Arabidopsis thaliana: one gene and its partners. The protein of the gene in region 3 purifies or fractionates together with the protein of the main gene of each other region. This does not show direct contact. Each region holds a gene or a part of one and is shown on either strand. Other genes may lie near its edges.

The links. Proteins that work in one complex are often made in the same cells at the same time.
Region 1: the proteins of AT3G58610 (region 3) and AT3G23940 fractionate together in Arabidopsis thaliana (co-fractionation; one large-scale study listed by BioGRID). This does not show direct contact.
Region 2: the proteins of AT3G58610 (region 3) and OASA1 fractionate together in Arabidopsis thaliana (co-fractionation; one large-scale study listed by BioGRID). This does not show direct contact.

The regions. Positions count from the first base shown.
Region 1 is NC_003074.8:8,645,727-8,653,647, reverse strand, and holds AT3G23940 (dehydratase family), read right to left. Parts: upstream 4,980-7,921; 5' UTR 4,869-4,979; coding exon 4,341-4,868; intron 4,243-4,340; coding exon 4,171-4,242; intron 4,071-4,170; coding exon 4,023-4,070; intron 3,850-4,022; coding exon 3,695-3,849; intron 3,526-3,694; coding exon 3,331-3,525; intron 3,254-3,330; coding exon 3,142-3,253; intron 3,058-3,141; coding exon 2,988-3,057; intron 2,902-2,987; coding exon 2,843-2,901; intron 2,735-2,842; coding exon 2,611-2,734; intron 2,517-2,610; coding exon 2,446-2,516; intron 2,367-2,445; coding exon 2,265-2,366; intron 2,054-2,264; coding exon 1,973-2,053; intron 1,631-1,972; coding exon 1,472-1,630; intron 1,376-1,471; coding exon 1,325-1,375; 3' UTR 1,043-1,324; downstream 1-1,042. Other genes in the region: AT3G23950 (F-box family protein), read left to right, coding at 1-740; AT3G23930 (troponin T, skeletal protein), read right to left, coding at 5,873-6,156, 6,230-6,620. UniProt on the Arabidopsis thaliana protein: Functions in the biosynthesis of branched-chain amino acids.
Region 2 is NC_003075.7:8,516,918-8,523,570, forward strand, and holds OASA1 (O-acetylserine (thiol) lyase (OAS-TL)), read right to left. Parts: upstream 3,680-6,653; 5' UTR 3,415-3,679; exon of another isoform or gene 3,220-3,414; intron 3,150-3,219; exon of another isoform or gene 3,147-3,149; 5' UTR 3,134-3,146; coding exon 3,101-3,133; intron 3,014-3,100; coding exon 2,904-3,013; intron 2,817-2,903; coding exon 2,759-2,816; intron 2,679-2,758; coding exon 2,415-2,678; intron 2,324-2,414; coding exon 2,186-2,323; intron 2,089-2,185; coding exon 2,037-2,088; intron 1,908-2,036; coding exon 1,828-1,907; intron 1,721-1,827; coding exon 1,661-1,720; intron 1,574-1,660; coding exon 1,493-1,573; intron 1,385-1,492; coding exon 1,292-1,384; 3' UTR 1,043-1,291; downstream 1-1,042. Other genes in the region: OFP11 (ovate family protein 11), read left to right, coding at 1-162; SECE1 (secE/sec61-gamma protein transport protein), read left to right, coding at 331-864; FdC1 (2Fe-2S ferredoxin-like superfamily protein), read left to right, coding at 3,970-4,434; AT4G14900 (FRIGIDA-like protein), read right to left, coding at 4,842-5,357, 5,460-5,635, 5,784-6,653. UniProt on the Arabidopsis thaliana protein: Acts as a major cysteine synthase, probably involved in maintaining organic sulfur level.
Region 3 is NC_003074.8:21,668,341-21,676,143, reverse strand, and holds AT3G58610 (ketol-acid reductoisomerase), read right to left. Parts: upstream 4,712-7,803; 5' UTR 4,584-4,711; coding exon 4,287-4,583; intron 4,164-4,286; coding exon 4,071-4,163; intron 3,802-4,070; coding exon 3,736-3,801; intron 3,630-3,735; coding exon 3,489-3,629; intron 3,395-3,488; coding exon 3,167-3,394; intron 3,063-3,166; coding exon 2,945-3,062; intron 2,866-2,944; coding exon 2,726-2,865; intron 2,633-2,725; coding exon 2,465-2,632; intron 2,377-2,464; coding exon 2,221-2,376; intron 1,874-2,220; coding exon 1,505-1,873; 3' UTR 1,413-1,504; exon of another isoform or gene 1,259-1,412; intron 1,191-1,258; 3' UTR 1,054-1,190; downstream 1-1,053. Other genes in the region: AT3G58600 (Adaptin ear-binding coat-associated protein 1 NECAP-1), read left to right, coding at 5,145-5,282, 5,959-5,990, 6,326-6,499, 6,587-6,618, 6,695-6,785, 6,879-6,990, 7,069-7,398; AT3G58590 (Pentatricopeptide repeat (PPR) superfamily protein), read right to left, coding at 7,657-7,803.

The sequences.
Region 1 (7,921 bases), about 13 Mb from region 3:
TGTGGTTGATCGCTCACACTTTTGCTCAAGTCGATTTTGCGATTTACTCATCTAACACAGGGGAATGGGAAATTAAAAATGTGACTTGTCTTCATTCTGCCTATTGGTTTAGTCATCACAAGTCCATTGCTTTAAATGGGATTCTTCATTGGCTTTCCAACCTCACCGGTTCTTTTTTAGCTTACGATTTCTATGGAGGTCATCATGATGCGTGTAGTATCATTTATTTCCCCGATAATGGAAAAGATTACGAGTTACCGCGTTTTCGGAGAACAATCACTACCTCGGAAGGGTCTATTGTGTATTTCAACGAGTTTGGTGGGAACGCAAACCGCAAAGTACGGGTTTGGAGGCTGGTCAAGTACACTGATGGTCCTGAGGCGTGGCAGCTCTTTTGGGAAGCCAGCTTGGCGTCTGTGACCAAGCTAGGTATCGATTACTTCCCGGTGGTGATGCATCCTTTGAAGTCTGAGATCATCTACTTGTGGAGCAGAAACAAGAAAGGTATGGTCTTGTTTAACTTGAGGACGCATGTGTTTAGTCTTCACAAGGAATCCGAAGACGAGAGGAAGTGTATGGATGGTTGCACCTTGAGCTTTAACTGGTGCAACGAGTATATGGAGACCGTTCATAGATACTTTTCCCCATCGTTTCAAGGTGGTCCTAACCTTCTCCTCGCTTCACAGTATGTTCTCCCTCGTTGGTTGTCCCGTCTCCCTCGTCCACAGCCTTCTAATTAGTTTATATTGATTCTGTTTTAAGTTTGATATCAAATTTCAAATGTGAATGATTTTACAATTCTGTGAGATGTCATGCTCGAGCCTTTGAGACAAATACTTGCACCTTGATATAAATTGGTCGAATCAAATATTAATTACCATGCTCGAGTTTTACTATTCTTATGACCCTTATGTTGTCTCCTACAGAAACGAGAGAAAGACGATGAAAAGACTTGAAATCCAAGGAACCCAAGCCTTTAAGGTTAGTGGATTTCACATCTTTCTAAACCATGTAGAGAACGTCAAGCTTATTCACGCATAGCTGGTTTGCCACATTGGCTCTTAAGTTCAATCTCATAGACAAGTATTTATGCAAATCCGTCTTTATTCTGTCTTTATATTCTTTGGAATTCGGCCACAATCACAAGTTTTTATTTTGACATTTAAGAGAAACAAAATCTTAAAAACGAACCCTGCAAATAGCTAATGATCAGTCACAAAGTAACATGATCTAGAAGCTACAATAAATAAACTTACAAATTCCCTCATGAACGTACACTACATTCTGCTGCTCATTCACAAAACTCTCTCTTAGATCGTTCACTTTACTCGTCAGTCACACATCCATCTGAAGCCGATTGCACGTTCTTGATGTACTGTTTTTAGAATATCATAAACCATTCATTAGAAACTAATCCATCAGATGTCAAAGAGACATACATTATATAGATACAAGTGGATTCGTATAGTACCTTATATAGGACTCCGCGGTTAACCTTGTATGCAGGAGCAGTCCATTTCTTTCTACGGTCATTCATTTCTTCGGGTGAGACTTGTGTGTCTATTCTCTTCTTTCCTATGTCAATGGTGATTATGTCTCCGTTCTTGATCAGACCGATCGGACCACCCTCCTGCACAGATAAATAGTAAGCACACCGGAGAATTGCTTTCAGCATTATTATCTTCACATTCTCCAATCACATTAATATCAGTTTTATTATTTGAAATATTCCAAAATCATCATAACTGCATAAGAGCCACCACAAACTATTACAGGATCCCTTGACCCTTGTTCCTTTTTGCTAAAACTATATATGACTATGACCCAGTAGCATTTATTTTTCAATACACAAGAAAAATATCCCAGAAGAGGGACATGGATCTATCAAATTTATCTTGCAAGTGCAAAATTTAGAATTTTGCTCTGATGGAGCCAGTGGGCAGAGAGAAAAAAAAAAGGGAGAGAGAGAGACCTGAGCTTCAGGGCAAATGTGGCCAACAACAAAACCGTGTGACCCACCAGAGAACCTACCATCAGTCAGTAATGCACATTCCTGCATCACCCAATAGCAACATATTGGCACTTTATATAAGGTGTGTTCTCGGATATGGACAAAGTAGATAAAAAGATTTAGGTCACTACCATAAGCATAATATAGTCAGACCATATCAAAGGAAAAATAACGAGTTCTTTAATTTAGAACATAAAAATTGATCAGACTTAATAAATGTCTCACTAACCCAGTCATACTGGTCATATCATACCTTTCCAAGACCGGCACCCATTATTGCACTTGTCGGTGTCAACATCTCAGGCATACCTGGACCTCCTTTAGGCCCCTCTCCTCTGATAACAACCACAGTTCCCTGAAACACGATACATTTCATCAGATAAAAGATATATAACCAGCTCCTGAGATGAACTTCATATCAGAAAGGAAATTACCTTAAAACTCATTGGGTCTGCTGATATAGCAGCCAACATAGATTCCTCTCCTTCAAATACAAGTGCAGGACCTAAAATAAATAGTTCCATCATATAAGCCCTAATATTCAGAAGCATTAGCTAAATATGGAGTGTAAAGGAGGTACTAGAGTGAACCAACATTACCAGAGAAATATAAGCCCTCTTTGCCGGTAATTTTTGCTACAGAACCATCTGGTGCAAGGTCTCCTCTCAAAATTTGTATGTGTCCAGTCTCCTTGATTGGATTTGACAGAGGTCTAATTATCTCCTGGAACATTATCAGAATTAATTAGAATCCTGTATAACTAACAACCATCATAATCAAGAAGAAACAGGCGGTAGAATCTAATGAGATAACTAATAACATTACAAATACCTGCCCTTCTGTTAAGCTTGGGACGTTTTCTAAATTTTGAGCCAAAGTCTGCCCTGTCACTGGTAGAGATACAAAAGCGTAGTTATGCCATTTCACATCAATCCAAATTGCTAAGTCAGTTTATAAAATGTTTGAGCATTTCTACCTGTCATACAATCACCATCCATCAATCCTAGCTCTAATAAATAGCGGAGAACAGCTGGCGTACCACCTATCTGTAGATTAAACAACAAAACTTACAAACTGACCAATAAAAAAACAGATAAGTAATAAGCAAAACGATTTCGCCAAAGCCTTACCTTATGTATATCCTCCATAACATACTTCCCACTGGGTTTAAGATCTGCTAGAAATGGAACCGCATCGCTAACTTTCTGAAAATCGTCAAGAGTCAACTCCAAACCAACAGACCTGAAATCATTTCCATTCATTACTTCGGTCCATTGCTTTCCATGGTAATAATAAGAAACATCATAACAATCTGTCACCTTGCAATAGCAATTAGATGCAATACTGCATTTGTCGATCCCCCAAGGGCCATGACGGAAACCATTGCATTACGAAGTGATTTTGGAGTGATAATGTCACGGGGTTTTAAGTCCATCTTTAGCAATTCTAGAAGATATTTTCCTGCTAAGCGACACTCGTCCAACTTCAATGGGTCTTCAGCAGGTATTGAAGAACTTCAAAAAAAAAAGAAGAAGCAAATATATGAACTTTTGAAATAAGCATTCCACAATTACAGTTTAGGATCTACAATGTTCTTGTGGAAATAACTTTCTATTAAGCACAAATCTGGGAAAACGTTTGAAGTTGATTTATAAATGTGGTCTTCAGGACTGAAAGCCTCACCTGTAAGGAAGGGACATTCCCATTGCTTCGATAGCAGAAGCCATTGTATTCGCTGTGTACATGCCACCACAGGCTCCAGCTCCAGGACATGAATGATGGAGGACAGTCTTTCTCTGTTCATCACTTATGGAGCCACTAACAAATTCTCCATAACTCTGAAATACAAAATTGGAAAACATGATGAATCCCACAAGTACTGGTACAATTTGACACCAAAGTCACCAAGATTTCTGTAACTCAATCCCAAAATTGGAAAACTCAATGAAGTCTCATAAATACACATTAAAATTGTTATAACCAAGCTCGTAGCAGATAGAAGAAAAGATACCTGGAAAGCAGATACAATGTCATATGTCTTGTCTTGAAAATGGCCAGGCTGCAATAATATCAAAGCAAGGTGAATAGGCTATCCAACTAGGCACAAGGGTTTAGGGTTTAAGAAACTATCTTCTCATCAATTTGATAAAAGTAAGTACCTTAATGGTTCCACCATAAACCATAATCCCTGGTCTGTTAAGCCTTCCCATAGCCATAATAGTTCCAGGCATCTAAAAGTATTACAACAATAACATTATAGCAAACAAATCACATAAAACATGGAGATAAAGACAACACAAAGATCGATGATTAAAAAAAAAAAACTCACATTTTTATCACAACCGGGAATAGATATGTTACCATCATACCACTGAGCACTCATAACAGTCTCAATACTATCAGCAATCAAATCCCTAGATTGCAAACTAAAACACATCCCTCTCGTTCCCATCGAAATAGCATCACTCACACCAATAGTATTAAACCTAAACCCAACCATTCCTGCATTTTCAACTCCTTCTTTCACAGCCTCAGACAATTTCAGCAAATGCATGTTACAAGTGTTCCCTTCATACCAAACCGACGAGATACCAATCTGGGGTTTTAGCAAATCGTCGTCTGATAAACCAACACCGTGAAGAATTGCTTGAGACCCACCTTGGGATTTGGGTTCAGTGATTCTTGAGCTGTATTTGTTGAGCTTATTGGTGTCAGTGATAGGTGGTGAAGGATCAGCGGTTACGGATTGGGCGGAGCAGGAGATGATTGAGGGACGGCGAGAGTTGACATTGTGGGAAGGGAGGAGAGGTTTACAGGGGAAGAGAGTGGCGCGTGGAGAGAAGATGGTGGCTTGCATGACGGCGCGAGGAGGAAAGGGTTTAAAGAAGGGTTTTTTGGCGGCGCAGTGCGTGTGGAGGAGACACTTCAAAAGTGAAGACTTTGTGAGAGTGAGATAAAATGGTCAGGACTCTGAATTCAGATAGATACAGAAAAATAGGTTTTTTTGGTAATTTGTGAAAACGCTGTCGTTTAGCATAATTTGGGAAACAATTTGGTTTAACTCGCTGGTTTGGTATATGCGATTGCTTAAATAGTTATAATTAGGGGTGCAATAACCGGTTATTACAATTGTAGTGAAATAATTGGGTTAAAAATGGAATTGAAGACATAATAAATGGTTTTGGTTTCATATTTTTTTCATAATCAATATAGTAATAGAGATCAAACCAAGACAGAAAAAGAAGTAGAAATAAACCAATTAGAATTGTTTTTTTTTGTTAATGAAATATTGCTAAAATTAAATGCCGTAATCGAAGCAAAAATAAGAAATAAACCAACTAAAACTTCTTCTTTTTTACTACGGAAATTAAAGTAAATTTTGCTAAAAAGGATAAAACCCTAGCAGAAATCAAAATTGTACCAAACCGAACCACATGATATATTTCTTGTAGGATTCACTTCTTTATCTCATCTAACAAAAATTTGATAATTTTCAGTAACCGAACCGGAAGTTGGACATTCTTAATTAGAACTAGAAGTTTCTTGGGCTATAAAAAAGCAAGTGGTGTTTTAGACTTTTAGTGTCTAGTAAGTTTTTTTCCACAGTTTCTGTTCTTTGGAAAAATGGTTCATTATCATTATTGCTAAAGAATTGTATCTAACTCCAACAAAAAAAAAAAAAAACGATTTGTGCAAATCTTTCATGGGACATGTGCTTTTTGAACTCATAGTGCTATGATTTACTATATTTCCAAAATAAAAATTGTAAAATAACCAAAAGAGAAATAAATATGACATTGTGGATCAAGATTCTCTGACGAGATATGACTGTTTGCAGAAGACTATTTGAGTAAAAAGTGTTTATGTACATTCGACACATTTGGTCTTCAATATCAACAGATTCATTGATGCGAATGATCCTGTCTTCTTTTTCTTCTTGCTTCCAAGAATCCTTAGACTCTGTCTCAATAAGTCAATCTCTCTTTCTTTCTCATACTTTTGTCTATCCATCAAAACTATTTGCTCTTCAAGTGTCTCAACTGTCTCTTCTTTAACTCTAACTTCATCTCTCAATACTTCAACTCTCTTTGCTTCTGTTTCTTCTTCTTCTTGTTCCTCAAGTTTCCTTTGCATGATTGCTTCTCCTACAAACACACACTTTAAAGATCCTATTTACTTTTTCTAATTTTAAGTTGAAATAAGTTGAGTTTATTTTACCGGAGGAAGAAGTAGTGTGGGAGATGAGATGATCAAGCTCATTCTTGATAGCTAAATAGAGTTGTTTCCATTTCTCAACGGCTTCATCTCTCACTGCTCTCTCTACACACATCTCCTCAACCACCCACTTCCAATACTCTCTTTCCTCTGTTGTTGTTGTCTTTGCTTCTTCTCTTTCCTCTAGCTTCTTCCTTAGTCTTCTCACTTCCTCTCTCAGCTTCTTCCTCTCTTTTCTCCACTCTCTCTCCGCCTCTTTAAGCTGAAGAAACATCACTTTCTCTCTCTCATCTCTCTCTTTTATCAGGTGTCTTCTTCCTCTGCTTTGGTCTTTTGATGTCTCCTTCACACTTCTCACACCTCTCCTCTCTTGCTTGCTTGTGCATCCACCCATCTCTAATCCTTTTGGACACTTCTTCTTCTTCTTCTTATAACATGAAGAAGAATATGTTAATGAAGGAGAATCTCACTCTATCTCTCTGAAAGCTGTGTTCTTGTTTTATTTATGATGTAAAGAGCCTCTCTCCTACATTCAATGAAGAGAAGTCAAAATTGTATATGAAGAAGCTCCACTAGTACTACTACACTACCATTTATATATGGCCCTTTCTAAAAAGAGCATCTCAAAACAGTAACCTCTCTAGCTTTACTTTTTCACTCACTCACAAGTGTAAACACACTACAGTAAAAAAAGTGAAACTAAAAATTTGGTGGAATGGATGGAATAAATTAAGAGAGAAGTGATGGGAGATGTCAGAAGGGAAGGTGGAGAATTTTGTTAGAAGATAGGTTTAACCGTTTAAGGACATGGAAAACTACAACACTAGATTCTCATCCTTTACCACAATTAATGGTGTGGGCTTTCATTGTTTTTTTCACATGGTCCATCATCAACTATTTGGACCCATCCCTCTCTCTATACTCTATATAACTCTATACTAAGTATTTTGTTTTCCTATTACTATTTACTAATCAGTTTCTACAGTCACATGATTAAAAAAAAAAGAGATAATATGTGTGTAGATGTCACATTAGGAAATGAATATAGACATACCTGTTTTTGAGTGGCTCAAGGGTCAGATTAATCTTATAGAGGAAGAGACAAAAGTAAGACTGTTGTCTAATCAAAATCTTATTCATGTGAATAGTTTATGTTTTTAGGTTTTACAGCCACATAATCAAGATTGGACCCACGATTTTTGTTTGTGAGAATGAGAATTTAGTATATGTGTTTGGCTCAGCTGGTTTAAGCTGTGCCTTCACGTGAACTTCCCTATTAATCCGGCTCCTCTATCTGTCCTTAATTATTTGTTAAGTATATCTCATATTTTCCTTTTATTACAAGAATCCCTAATTATTACTTAGTGCTCTGTCTCCCTAATTTTAGTCGTTCTTTTGGTGAAAACATTGTTTAATAGCTTCTGAAATTAGGTTTACCTTAATTTACTTTAGTGGCAGGGTAAATGTCCGACTAGTTCTGGCCTCGTAAGACTAAATGTTTTTTAGCAGATAGTTTCATACAACCTCACCACATGCAAATAGCTCGACCCGAATACCAAACGTACAATCCAAATGACTCACACATAATGTTTGTATGTGGAACTATAGCAAATTTACCGTTAATACCGTTGCGTATGGCTTTTGGTAGCTATTTTACTGTCTAAGTTTTTACATTTTACACCCATCCAATGAATA
Region 2 (6,653 bases), on a different chromosome or scaffold from region 3:
ACGAGAGACGTCGTCGCCGATAGAGAATACTTGCACGAACTGTTATTCTGTTATCTCTATTTGAATCCGAAACATACTCACAGATTCATCGTCTCTGCTTTCGCCGATACGCTCCTCTGGTTACTTTCTCCGTCGCCGTCGCCAGAGCATTTTTTATCCTAAATTTAAATTTTTTCAAATAAATATTTGGGCTTTATAAGGCCCATAATAATTGTAGCAACTCTTACTATACTCATTGCTGTATCTGATCATTTACTTCAGTCTTCAGATATCTGAATTATCCACAAATCTAAAATTGAGAAAACTTAAAAAAGTTCCCAATTTCGAAAAATGTCACTAACCGCACAATTCTCGCCGCCGGTCACCGGAATAACCAGGAGTCTCCGGGATACAAAACCGTCACTGTCTAATCTCCGTGTATTTCCGGTTTACACTGAGATAAGAACTATGACGACGAGTAATCTGAGGAAATCGGCGTGTTTTGTGGCTAAGGCTATAGAACAGAGACGAGATACAGCTGGATCTGAATCGGAATCAGAAGCGACTCCGTCACCGGCGGAAGAGAGTGGAAGCGGAGAAGATAAGGAAGTGGAGATTAGCGCGATAGGAGCAGAGATAAAAGCAGCGATGGAGCAGAGGAAAACGGCGGAGGAAGAGAAAGGGAAGAACGAGTTTCTTAGTGGAGTTGCGGAGGAAGTGAAGGAGATTGAGTGGCCGGCGTTTCAGAAAGTTCTCGGAACTACCGGCGTCGTGCTCGGTGTTATCGCTGGCTCTAGCGTCGTCTTGCTCACTGTCAATTTCCTTTTGGCTGAACTCTCTGATCGAGTGTTCATCGGAAGAGGTGTTCAAGACTTCTTCAGCTGATCCTGTGAATTGAAAATGGTAAAATTTGTGTGTACAATTTTTAGTGATTGCAATGAGAAATCGAAACATTGTTGATTTGTGTAGATGATGATAAAGAGAATTATCGGAATCACTCCTTTTGAGCATTACCTTCTTCTTATCCTAATCTTATATTTAGCCTGAAATATTGACTTGGGTTATGTTGGTTTAGTTTTGATCATGAAACAGTATGATACTTATGAACAAAGTTACATAGCAAATTTAAACTTCATTAACAAGCAAGTGGTTCACAAAAGAAACAGAGAAAATCTAGTTTGACTTTTATTGGCACACAAGAGAAGATACAGATGGAAGCAAAGACGCAATGTAACTAAAGATGAAGAGTCTCTATAGGAGAAACTGAACATCTCTTTTATTTTGGCGTCTCTTAAGAAGAAATGGAGAATGTTCAAGCCTCGAAGGTCATGGCTTCCGCTTCTTTCCTTGTCGCATCGAAAAGTACCGTTGATAGATACCTCTCCCCGAAACTCGGGAATATCGCCTGTAAAATAATTCAGTTGATTTCGTTTACATCAGAATCAGAAAGAAATCCGGGTTATGTAATCAGAGCTTATTGGCTTTGGGGTGATGATAGAATCAAAGAGCTTACCACAAATAGCTTCCCAGCGTTTTCTGGCCTCTGTGCAAGTTTAATTGCTGCAGCAGCTGCTGCACCGGATGATATTCCCACCTACAGTATAGCTTTTGTTTTTAGAAACAGAACGAAGTTGTAATTCTGATGGAGATAGCTTTTTGTTGTGAAATGTGAAACACTTACAAGAAGACCTTCTTTAAGAGCAAGCTGCCTTGCCATGTCAATGGATTCATCACTTGAAACCTGTTGAAAGCGTTACAGGAAAATGGAGAGAGTCAAGTAAGAAATGAAGCTCTCTTGCATTCAATTGTGTTTTGCTATCAGTCGATAATATCGAAAAGCAGTCTTACCTGAACAACTTCGTCAATAAGATCAACATTCAATACACTTGGTATAAAACCAGCTCCTATCCCTTGAATCTTGTGAGGACCTTGATATTTTCAGCAAACATCATGTGTTAGGAAACTCCGAGGATAAAAAATAAGACATGAGGCAAACCGAGAAACGAGGAACATGCATGCATGGTTATCGTAATAAACGCAGGGGGAACCAAAATCACCTGGCTTCCCACCGGATAGAATAGCACTTTCAACTGGCTCCACTCCATACAGCTAACAGAAGAGGAAACAAAATGAGAAACCGTGCAAAGACACACCACTTAGTCACTTAGATAACAAAGCCAGTTGTTCGAAAAGATGGAGCTCTCACCTTGACGTTTGCGTTCTGTTCTTTAAGATACTTCCCAGCACCTGTAATGGTACCACCAGTACCAATCCCAGAAACAAAGCCATCGATTTTGCCACCAGTGCCTTTCCATATCTCAGGTCCCGTAGTCTCATAGTGGATCTGCATTTGACAGTGAAATTCCATCGACTTAATATGGTTCAAAAACAGACAAAAACAGATACACTAAAGCAATAGTAAATAATAAGCATACCTTAGGGTTGGCAGGGTTCTCAAACTGCTGAAGCATGTAACCATTGGGTGTTTTCGCCAAAATCTCTTCCGCCTTTGCGATAGCTCCTTTCATGCCCTTAGCTGGGTCAGTTAAAACCAACTCAACTCCAAAAGCTAAGAGAATGATTCTTCTCTCAGTACTCATAGAAGCTGGCATTGTAATAATAAGCTTGTAGCCTTTGGCAGCTGCCGTGAATGCTAACCCAACTCCAGTGTTTCCACTTGTTGGCTCAATCAGCACACTCTAAAGAACAAACAAAAAGTCAGAAACAATGAAAACAAAAACAAAATAGTGGTTTGAAGATTCAGATAATCGAAACTGACCTCTCCTGGTTTGATAAGACCCTTCTTTTCTGCATCAGAAATCATGCTAAAACCAATCCTGCAGAAATAAACAAAGTACAAGGTCTTCACAAAACCGAAACTCGAAGCGAGAAACAACACATAGTTTCTGGACTAGAGAAGAAACCTGTCTTTGACGCTAGAGCACGGTTCCATCATCTCAAGCTTAGCAGCAACACGACCAACACATCCTTCAGCAACATTGTTCAAATACACCAATGGAGTGTTCCCAATCAACTGCCAAATAGAATCAATCAATACATGAACATGGAACAAAGCTCACTCCTTCGTGAAATGAACAGTGAAAGAACTTGAAAGCCTTACTTCAGTCACATCTTTAGCAATTCTCGAGGCCATGATTCAAGCTTCACTGCTTAAATTCACAAAAAGAGAAAAGTAAGACCAAAGGAATAAATCATCCTCAAACCAAAAACACATCATACAAAATCATCAAACATAAATCTCCAGATGTATGAGCACCAATCCAGTTATACAACACTCTTAACACCAAATCAACAGATTTAACAGCGAAATAAGCTTAAGCCCATACAATTATCCGATCCAAACAAATATAATCGAAACCGGCAGAGGAATAAGCAAGTGAATCAAAAAGTATGGGACGAGGAAGAAGATGATACCTGAATGAGAAAGTCAATAACCTTGACCCGAATCGTTTTGAAGAAAATGGAGAAAATCGGTTGTATGGAATAAAATCTTCGAATGATGAGATATATGATCTCTTTGGTGTCAGTCACATGGCACACGCTATCAATTTAGAAAAACGCGGTGGTTGGTCACCAGAATTACTACTTCTCGGTCTGATTTGGTCATATCCGTATTAAGTCCGGTTAATATTTTCCATAACTGGGGTTTGAACATTCGGTTTCTTTTTTTCAGTTAGTCCGATTTGGAGTTTTGAGTATGGAAAAATAATACTGAATTTATTTGTTCAAACTGTTTTGGAAAAAATATTTCCCTTAATTACGAATATAATTAAAATTTTAAAATTCATTTTATTAGATCTTGGTTAATTCGGTTTAATGCATTAATGAATTTCGGTTTAAGTCGGTTTTCGGTTTTTATGTCCCACCACTATCTACAACCGATGATCAACCTTATCTCCGTATTCACCACAAACAGTCATCACTCTCACTTGACACAAAAACTCTTTTGTCTCCGTCTCTCTGTCTCTCATGGCGACTCTTCCTCTCCCGACTCAAACTTCTACAATCTCTCTCCCTAAACCTTATCTCTCCAATTCCTTCTCCTTCCCACTCCGTAACGCAACACTCTCAACAACAACAAACCGCCGGAACTTTCTCACCACCGGAAGGATCATAGCTCGGGCATATAAAGTGGTGGTAGAGCACGACGGAAAGACGACTGAATTGGAAGTCGAACCAGACGAGACGATTCTATCTAAGGCTCTTGACTCTGGCCTTGACGTTCCCTACGACTGCAATCTCGGTGTTTGTATGACTTGTCCAGCGAAACTCGTGACCGGAACGGTGGATCAAAGTGGTGGGATGCTAAGTGATGATGTGGTTGAACGTGGCTACACGCTTCTATGTGCTTCGTATCCAACTTCTGATTGTCACATTAAGATGATCCCTGAGGAAGAACTCTTGTCTCTCCAGCTCGCCACTGCCAACGACTAATCATCTTCTTGATTTAGACTAAAGAAGTCTTTTTTTTGGTGTAATACGAACACTTTGTAACGAATCTTGCTATGAGACTTCGAAATCTTGATTTCAATGAGCCAATACAAACAGTGATACATAACATAATCACAGTGAAACATTCCTGGTTTAAGATGAATCTATTAAGTACTGAACTAAATTCGTTGATTGAAACATTAGGAAAGTGAATAGATATGTATAATTTAGATTAATAAACACACAAGGGTAGACTAATTCAGAACCAGAAAGAGTGAGAGTGTTAGCTACAAATGATACGATATAAAAAAAGAGAGATTACAACAAAAACGAGGTAGAGACAAAACGTAGACACCAGAGATCAGTGGTTGGTTACTTACCATCTTCTTTTTTCCTTTGTCATTGTCTAATCAGTAGTAAGCATGCTGAATATGGTGGTGGTGGTGCGGGTGAGGATGGTAAACTGGAGGGGGTGGAGCAGCCACCGGACTGCAGTAGGTACCATATGCTGTCGGATAACTGACCGGAGAGGTTTGGTAAGAACCATGAACCGCCTCGGGTGAGTATTGGTATGGAGGGCTCCTGTTGCTGTAGATGGTAGGTGGGGATGTGGTGTATGCTGGTACACCGTATTGAGGTGAGTGACTTTGGGATCTGATGAATGTTGGTGGAGGCGGTGGGAAAGAGGAGACGTAAGCGTTTGTGATACGCCCTGCTTTGGCTGGTGGCATTGGACCGCTGTAGCTTGCTCGGGTTCTCTTGTTGGCGGGAATCACGGCTGGTTTTCTCTTCTCGGTTTTGGTCTTCTCTAGCTGATCCAACCTCTTCTTGAGATTCTCGGGTGGGAATTCTTCCTCGAGTTTGTATTCTTCTATGCATTTTAAGACTGCTCTAAGTGCTGATTGCTCTTTGCGCGCCACAAGATGCTAGAAAAATACACACATACATTGGTAAGCGAGTGCAGAAGAAACAGATCCCTGCAAATGGATCCAGCAAAGAAAACGAGTAACACAAATGGAGGAAAGTACCGCAGATCGGCCAGAATTGTTGGAATCATCAGTGATTAAAGCTGTAGCTTTCTTTGCATCCCTCAGATAAGCTTTGAGCAAAGGAACAGGAGGGAACAAGTGTACAAGACCAACTTCAAAAGTGAAATGAACCGCATCAAGCTGTTGTCCCCTGATTATCAACTCTTCAATCATATCTGTGTGAAGCCATAACAACCCAAAAACCATCATTTTCCATTTCAGATACTACTCACAGATTCCCATGACAAAAGACAACAACTTGTGCTTCCCCAATATATAGCTAAAAACATCTAATGGTAATCAAAGGTAAAGAAGAAAGATTACCAGGCATTTGGTCGCCCAAACCAACTGAAACAGCAAGCTTTGGCATCTGTTTACGCCAAGCTGAACCAACCACAAGTTTCCTATAAAGAGCTAGATCATCCTTCTTCACAATCCCAAAAGTCACAAGATGTTGCAGAAACGTATGAACATCAGGTGTTTTCACATTCTCAATCCCTCCTCTCTCTTCCAAGCTAGCCTTCCACGTCTCAGCAATCTCTTTAGCTTTCTCCTTAACGCTAGGAGTTACAAGTAGCCGAGACTTCCCCATCACTGGATCAACCATAACTGGAATCAAACTCTCCAGAATCACAACACAAGCCCATCCAAAATCATTGCTCACTTTCTCTCCACCACCTCTTTTATCCACCGGAAAAACCTCAGATACAGCTTCAAGTACTAACTTCGGCGGATCCACACAATCTACCAACGCCACAGGAATCTGTGACCGGAGATTCTCCAATTCCTTCTTCCTCGCAATCACAAACCCCCAAAATCCTCTTGCGTCCATCTTCAAACAAAGCGACTTCAGCGCCGATAAAAGCCCGTCGCCGTCGTCGACTTCTCCGGTATCTTCATCACCACAGTCTCTAGCTTTCTCCAGCGAATCCAACGCCGCTCTAACGCGTTCCTCAACTTTCCCCTCCGCGATCTCGACGCTGTGGTCTATAGTCACCTCACGATGCTTGAGTAACTCAATCGAGCTCTGCGTTTGATTATCTAGGGTTTCAATCATCTGTCTCAGAGCTTCAGATTTCTTCATCAGGTTTTGCTCCATGGAAGTGAAATGCTCAGAGAGCTCTTTCCATAGAAGATTGCAGCTCGTCATTAGAGACGCCTGCTTCTGAAACTCAAAGAAACTCGGCTGAGACG
Region 3 (7,803 bases):
GTATTAACAGAAATAATTACAAAGCATTGGTGTCAAATCAAGATCATATATGATTTCACACTAAACACCAAGATTTTGTCTTTTAACAAAAACCAAACACCGAGATTTTGTCTTATAACAAAATTAAAGTAAATAAATTGAAAGGGTATAGTCCCGTCATGGGATTCCACTAATTATTACTCATTAAAGTCTTTTCCCTTCCAGAAATAACTAATTTTTGATGTTTTTAAATACACTAGATGATAAATTATTTTGGGTTAATAAATTGGTAGAACAAAAAAAATATTCAATCAACTTGGTACAAATAAAATTGTCTATGTTTTAAATTTGGATGGTGACACAACAACATACTAATACAAACCATTACTGTACATATGTTCGTAAGGTCTAGGTGGAAATCAAGCAATAAACCTAATTCGAATATAGTATAGTCTTAGCAGTTTGTACTCGAGCTGTAATTTTGGTTAAACCAAAAACATGAATCCTTATCAATTGGACAGTAAGAATTCTTGAAGTTAAAAGAGAGATTTTAGTGTTTTCTTTTCTTTTTAGTTTTTAGGATAAATGAACATGAAATGTGGGAAAAGAGCAATACAGTATGATTGGCTACACATGTTGGTCTTGTCTTTCTCTAATTCTTGAGCCACACTATCATATGATTGCAGAATTTTTATTTATTAATTAATTCAGATTCTCTTGGTTCTCTGTTTCTTTTCCTTTTCTCAAGCATTGTGGATTTATCTCTCTCTCTTTTTTTCTTCTTTTTTTGATTTTACAAGGAAAGGGAAAAAGACTTGACATATAATGCAAAATGTGCAGAGGGAGAGGGAGAGCACATGTCATTACATGTGATTCTAATAATTTAGATTCTTCATTTCTCAGTAAAAAGAGAGACAAAAGCATTATGCTCTGCCAATTTTTTCTTCTTTATCTTTAGTTTTGAAAAGAAAGAAAACACACACACACACACACACACAAATGATTTTTCCTTGTAATAATAATATAATTGAAGTTGGAGAGTGACTACATATATTCAATCTATCTGGCATTTGTAAAAAACTTATCTCTTTATTCTATATTCAATCATTCAACATAGCAACATACTATTTTTGACCCAACAAAAGTAGCATTACACACTATTATATCCTAAAAGTATCCTAAATGTTGCAAGATTAACGCAGACATATAAACTTCATCAAATCCTAAACTCTCGATACTGGTTCCTTCTTTAACTCTCAAGCGTCTCTAATCCCAGTTCAGTTACTGAAATTGACAATACACAATTCTAGACAAAATTAAGTTGAAAGTTTGCAAATGTTGTTACGAAAATAGTTAAAGCGAAATTTCGTTAAACTATTTTATTGATTTAAGTAGATTTTAAGACCAAAGCAAAGAGACATAATCCTTCAAACAAAACAAACAGTCACGCCTAAGAAAACATCACAAACTCTCGACTTAATACTCCGATTACAAATAAGAGACTGACAAACTTTCAACCCTTCACTCAGTTGCTAGATTGACGCAACTCAGGTCGAACAAAGTCTGCATCAGCAGGCACAGAGATATCAACGGTAGGCCTGAGCTGTGCGCAGACCTCAATGGCACCATGGACTGGATCAGAGAAGAAGTTACTGATTAGGTCTCTGTTGATTGCTGCACCACTGTCCACAGCCACAAGAGCTTGTTGGGTCAGGATGTAGTCAAACCGTGGCGCCCATTTCCTCGAACCCAATCTTGCTGTGGTTGAGCAGTTGTCAACCATGAAGGACACTCCCCTGGCGTGCATAAATGGGTTTAGAGAGTCCACGGATTCAATCACACTCTCGTTGATGATTTCTGAGTAAGAGTGACCTTTCTTCCTCAAGATCTCAATCTACACAAATCCACATAGAAACCACGATGATTTAGATTCTAAGAAATCACTGAAAATTGATAGCATATTAAATTCTAGGGGTTGTCCAATGCGGCTAATTCGAACTAAAACCATACAAAAAAGAATTCAAAATTGAATACAAAACAGATCGATATCACAATTTCTCTGAAACAAAATGGAAGTAAGAAGAATCCAATTAGACTATACAAACCTATTGCAATGACAAAAATATTCCAATTAGAGGTATATTTTCTAAAATCTGAACGGAAATTGAAACCGACTCTACATTGCATAAACCGAAAAATCCAAAGCAAAGGTGGGCACACCAGATATAAACATAGACATACCTGAGCCATCATAAGTGCTACATAAACTCCAGCGGTGAAGGGATACAATGGACCCAAGTCACCAGCAGGTCTGGACTTCCTGACGCGTTCACCCACCTTCCACATTCTTGTCTGGTCAATATTTCCCATAGGGAATGCTGGCAAGCCTTCCTTTTCCTGTTATAAGTAAGAGAATCCATCAAAACTCCTGCACAAACTGTGTTTGGGTAATTGTAACAAAAGGAAGATTCGGAAGAGTCATTACATAGAAGCGACGACCGGCTAAGACAACACTTCGGATTTCGCTGCCACTTTGTACATCCTCGTAACATTCATAGAGAATCTCCATACAAGGATAGAAGGATGCGCTGTATGCAGTCTCAAAATCTTTTTTACCTTCTTCAGACAAGGAGTTGTACACAGCCAACATTCCCTGATGTTCACAATTCATTAGAAACAGGTTTTAAATTTTTATATTTGGCTAAAAACGAATTAGTCTGTTCTCTACAGATATCTTCCTACTAACCTGGGTAGAGATAGTCCTTGAAATTGTTCCTGTGATGCATTCTACTGTGTTCTTGTAAGCCAAGTCTTCACTCATCCCATTTTCGGTGTATCTTCTAAACAGAGACTCCACGATTCCGTGAACAGCACCAAGCAAAATTCCTTTTAACAAAAAAGAAGAAGATATGTAAGTATGGGATTGAGTGATATAAAGACAGGTCTAAAAGGGGATCAAACTCACCTCTTTCTCCAAAGATGTCACTCCTGTACTCCTGTTCAAGAGTAGTAGCAAAAGTAAACGGAGAACCAAGTGCTACTGACCATCCCAATGCAACATCGGCGGCTCTACCGTCAACATCCTGCCAACAGAATAGCAGAAATAGTGGTGAAAAAATGAACACATGAGGTATAAGAGCTTTTCAGTAAAGATAGCTTTTGCAGTAGAGATAAAGAGATAGAAAACCTGGTGGACTGCAAAACTGGCGTTGATTCCAGCACCGTTAATTTCTTTTCCTTGGACGTAAAGCCTCCTCACAGAAGGACCCATTCCCTTAGGGCATACAGCGACCACACTGATGTTCTTTGGGAAATCGAGTCCCGAGGACTGTAAATGCCCTAGTAGAAACCCGTGTGATAAACCAAGAATGCTGTTTGGCTTCATGTGAGAGAATATTTTCTCATAGTTATCAGCCTGCAAAAACAGGATAGAATAAAATCGATGTATACACCTTAGGACTAATACCTCAACAAGTAGTAGTGGAAATATATAACAAAAGTGCACTTACTTGAGCAGCATCAGAGATCAAAAGCAATACAAGATCACTGCCAGCGATAGTTTCCCATATATCACCCAAAGTACCACTTTCTTCAGTGAAGCCAGCAGCACGTGCCTCCTCAAATGAGCGAGACCCTTTTCTGAGACCAATCTACGTAATAGTATATTAAAACGAAAACAAAGTCAGAACAGAGCCTTCACGTAACAACAGAAAGCAAACAAATACAAGTATGAAGCCAACTCTGCAGTTGAAATACCTTGACAACAATGTCAGACTTTGCCTCCACAAGTGAATCCCTTAAATTCTGAGCCTGGGCAGGTCCCTGCATATATAGATAAAGCGTTTATTACAAGAGAAGAGATGCTGAATAAAAAGAATATGAAACAATATATTAATCTTGTTCATTCCACCAACTCAAATGCATCAAAAGTATGAAAATGAAAACACTTTATTCATATCCTTTTTCTGACCAATTTCGTATCACAACACAGAACCAAGATTCCTTATTCGCAATCCAACGTAAGCAATTTAAAAAGCAATCAAACAAGAAGCACAGTAGCTACAGATAAAGAGACCAAAAAAGGTAAGTACCTGAGATCCCCAGCCAATCACACCAATCTGCTTAATCCCCTTGAAAGCATCTGGGAGATGCTTGAACAAGTCTCTTCCTCCTCTCACAATGTACTAAAACAAAGATCAGCAGAAACCAAACATTAGCAACAACTAACAAAATCAATACACATCAAAATGATTATAGAATAAGCACAAATTAGAACAGAAATGAATAAGAGGGTAAATGAGATAAACCTCTTCGTAACCAGCAAGAGAAACTTTCTCCTTTTTGAAGACAGATGTCTCAAAATCGAGAGAAACAGGGGCTTTGACCGCAGACGAAGAAACCATGCGAGCGGCAAGGGAGGATCCAGTGGCGCCATTTCCAGCGACGGTGGCAGTAAGCGACCTCAGAGACTTGGAAGAAGACGAGAGGAAACCGATATTGGGTAGAGCCAAGGTTCTGGCTTTGGAAGACCAAAGGGTTTTGGATGAAGAAGAAGGAGATGGGCATGAAAGAGAAGGAGCGATGGATGAAGTAGCCGCCGCCATTTTCTAAGTTGTAGCAAATTGACTGCGCAAAGAGAAGAGAGCTCACAAATTAGGGTCGCAGAGTCAGTGTGAGAGAAGTTAATAAGCGCACACAGTTTACCTACTCATCACCACCAAGAGACAGATATGAGAAAAATAAAATAAAACAAATCCATGTATTTATAATGGGCCTAGGCCTATTAGTTTAAAAGGCCCATTAAAGTAAATGTGGACGTTCTTTCTATTGGTTGGTGTTGGTCCATCAACTGCTTCAATGTTGACTTCCCAGCGGTGGAGGATACATAGGTGTCTAGTCTATATCAGGGTTTCAAAGTCAACGTAATAGACGGTTCAGATTTAACAGAGGTAGCTTAGATCTGATGGTTTTGAAGTAGCTCAGATTGAAGTAATGGTATACACTACACACACCTAACGCGAAACCTCTACGTTTCTTCGTCTTCGCGACTCGTGAGATTGTTGTAATCACAGTTCGGGAAAGACTTAACATTTAAGATTTACGGGTTTGTTTGATCGATTAGTCTCATCTGGGTTTTTCTCCAAGTTAAATTCTTTGTTTCTGAGATGGATCAAGCTTCGTCTTCTTCGACTATGGAGGAAGACAAGAAGTCTTCCACTGATCCTGTGAATGTCGATGATAACGAGGAGAGAGAAGCTATAGAGATTGCTCTGTTCCAAGTGCCTGAATGCTATGTTTATTTGGTAACTTTTCTTGGCTTATCATGAGATGTGATTTTATAATTTTTGATGAGTTTTGTGTCTTTTATGCTCAAGTTACATCCTTTCTTTGCAAGTTCACTTGGTGATTTTAGGAGATGTTTTGGATCTGATAATTAGTTATAACGTAAATTCAATCTGGTGTTATAGATTTCTTGCAATGGTATTGAGGAAGTTGTCTTAATTTGCATATGTTGAAAACTTGACGTTGAGTCTTGATCACTCGAAATTTTGTTTGGATTTGCAATGGTGATCGATTGCACATGTAACTATCAGCGAAAAATCTTTTCAAGGAGATTTCGTATGATAGATTCAAGGCTTGTGATAAAAGAGTACATTAATTTTAACCAATATCATGCTAAGTGATATCTTGATGGGGTCTCTCTGAAATCATACTAGCTTTTGAGATACTCGTGAAATTGTTACATGGTCATTGTGTTATAGGATGTATGAGATTCCAAATTGGCTACCTTGATGAAATCATAGACATTGTGAACTGTTGTTATTTAGGTTTAACTATAAAATTCTCATTCGTAATGGACAACATTGGAGCTTGATGTATCAATGTTATTTTATCGTTTATGCTTTCTTCTGTGTCTGTTACTTTACGGGGATGCTAGGCAAAGTAACCTCTTCATTGTCTTTTTGTTTGTGTATGCAGATACCTCCAAGGAAAACCGCAGCTTCGTACAGGTTCTTTCTTACCTTTATGATAGAAACAGTCATTCTGATATATGTAGTTAGGAGATTTTTACAAAACCCCTTTTCCCGATAAACCCTTCGGCTTAGCAAATGATCAGAAACTCGGAACGAATCTTATTGAACCAATCGTGAAGTATGTATGACTATGAATGGTAGCTTAACCTTAATTTGCATCAAGATGGTCATTATCTAGTTACATTCGCTTTGTATCAACTCAACTTGGCTTCTTTGGTAAAAGATACTTGAAAAAGTGCATCAAGTAATCCATTGGAAGATGGAGATAGACATCAGCTGATACTTTTTTTGTATAAATTTTATCCTTGCAGAGCAGATGAGTGGGACGTGAACAAATGGGCATGGGAAGGAGCTTTGAAAGTGGTGAGCAAAGGAGAAGAATGCATTATAAAACTAGTAGATAAAACCACAGGGGAACTTTACGCTCAGGCATTTCTAAGAGAGGGGGAACTTCATCCTGTAGAAGCAGTAATCGACAGTAGCAGGTAACAAAAAGTTGACCACATAACTTAACTTGCTCTTCTCATGATGTGCAGCTAGTCTAACAAAAAATAATCTGTTTTGTCTTGAAGATATTTTGTTCTCCGTGTTGAAGAAAAGATAGGTACGTACTTTCCATATAGATATAGAGATGTTAACTTGTAGTTGTTATTTGAGTTTAGTTCTTTGATGCAATGCAGATGGTCGTGTTCGACATGCTTTTATCGGACTCGGATTCCGGGAAAGAACAGAAGCATATGATTTCCAAGCAGCACTACATGACCATATGAAGTAACATTCCACTTCCAGATTTCTAAGTGTTCTTTCGAAAAACTAAATCATGTTTGAATCTGACCACCCTCTCTTTCTCTCTCTTTGCTAAAGGTATTTGAACAAGAAGAAAACAGCAGAAGAAATGGAACAACACTATCAGAACACTTCATCCGTTGATTACAGCTTAAAGGAAGGAGAAACCATTGTTCTCCAACTCAAAAATGTAAGATTTACAGTTATTGTCTGGATACATTTCCCACAAGGTTTCTTTTTGTTTTTCACATCAAAATGATTGAAACAGAGAAGCGATAAAGACAGCAAGTCAAAAACGGTAGAGAAGAGTCTGGGCAATCTCTCGTTGGAGGATAAAGGCAAGTCAATAGAAACCACCATTCCTTCAATCATCCTGCCACCTCCACCTCCGGGACCGCTTTCCCCTGTCACAACTGCTCAGAAGTCCCCGTCAAGTCTGCCGCCAAGCCTCAGCCTCCAAAGATCGTCTGAACAACAAGATTTAGATACAAAGCGAGAAGAAGAAGAAGAAGAGAAGAAAGAAGACCTAAAAGCCAAAGATGGAGGGGTTGAAGATGCACCAGATGATGACTTTGGAGATTTCCAAGCTGCGGGTTGATTTAAACTTATAATCTTTTTTACCATACACAAAGATCGTTTTATAAGTAATGTGACTGATCAAAGTTTGGATTGTTTGCTACTGAGAGCTTATCTTCTGTACAATTCCAAAATACAAGCCTATTTCTCTGAACTTGTGATTAGATAGACAAAACTCTAAAGGTTTCATTTTCTCCATATACAGATATGAGCTTTGCAAGAGAAACATCAGATAAATATCAAAAAATTCGCACATCTCTTCCAATTCTACTTTCTTCAACTACTGAAAAGAGACGACATTGAGAGTGTTTCTCTGTTCTTCTGCAAATCTATTGCAACCATCAAGAAATGTACGCCATACAGGCGCATCTGCAGGGAAAGGCATTTCCCGAATCAGATGCTCAGCTTCCTTCAGGTAACCATTTCT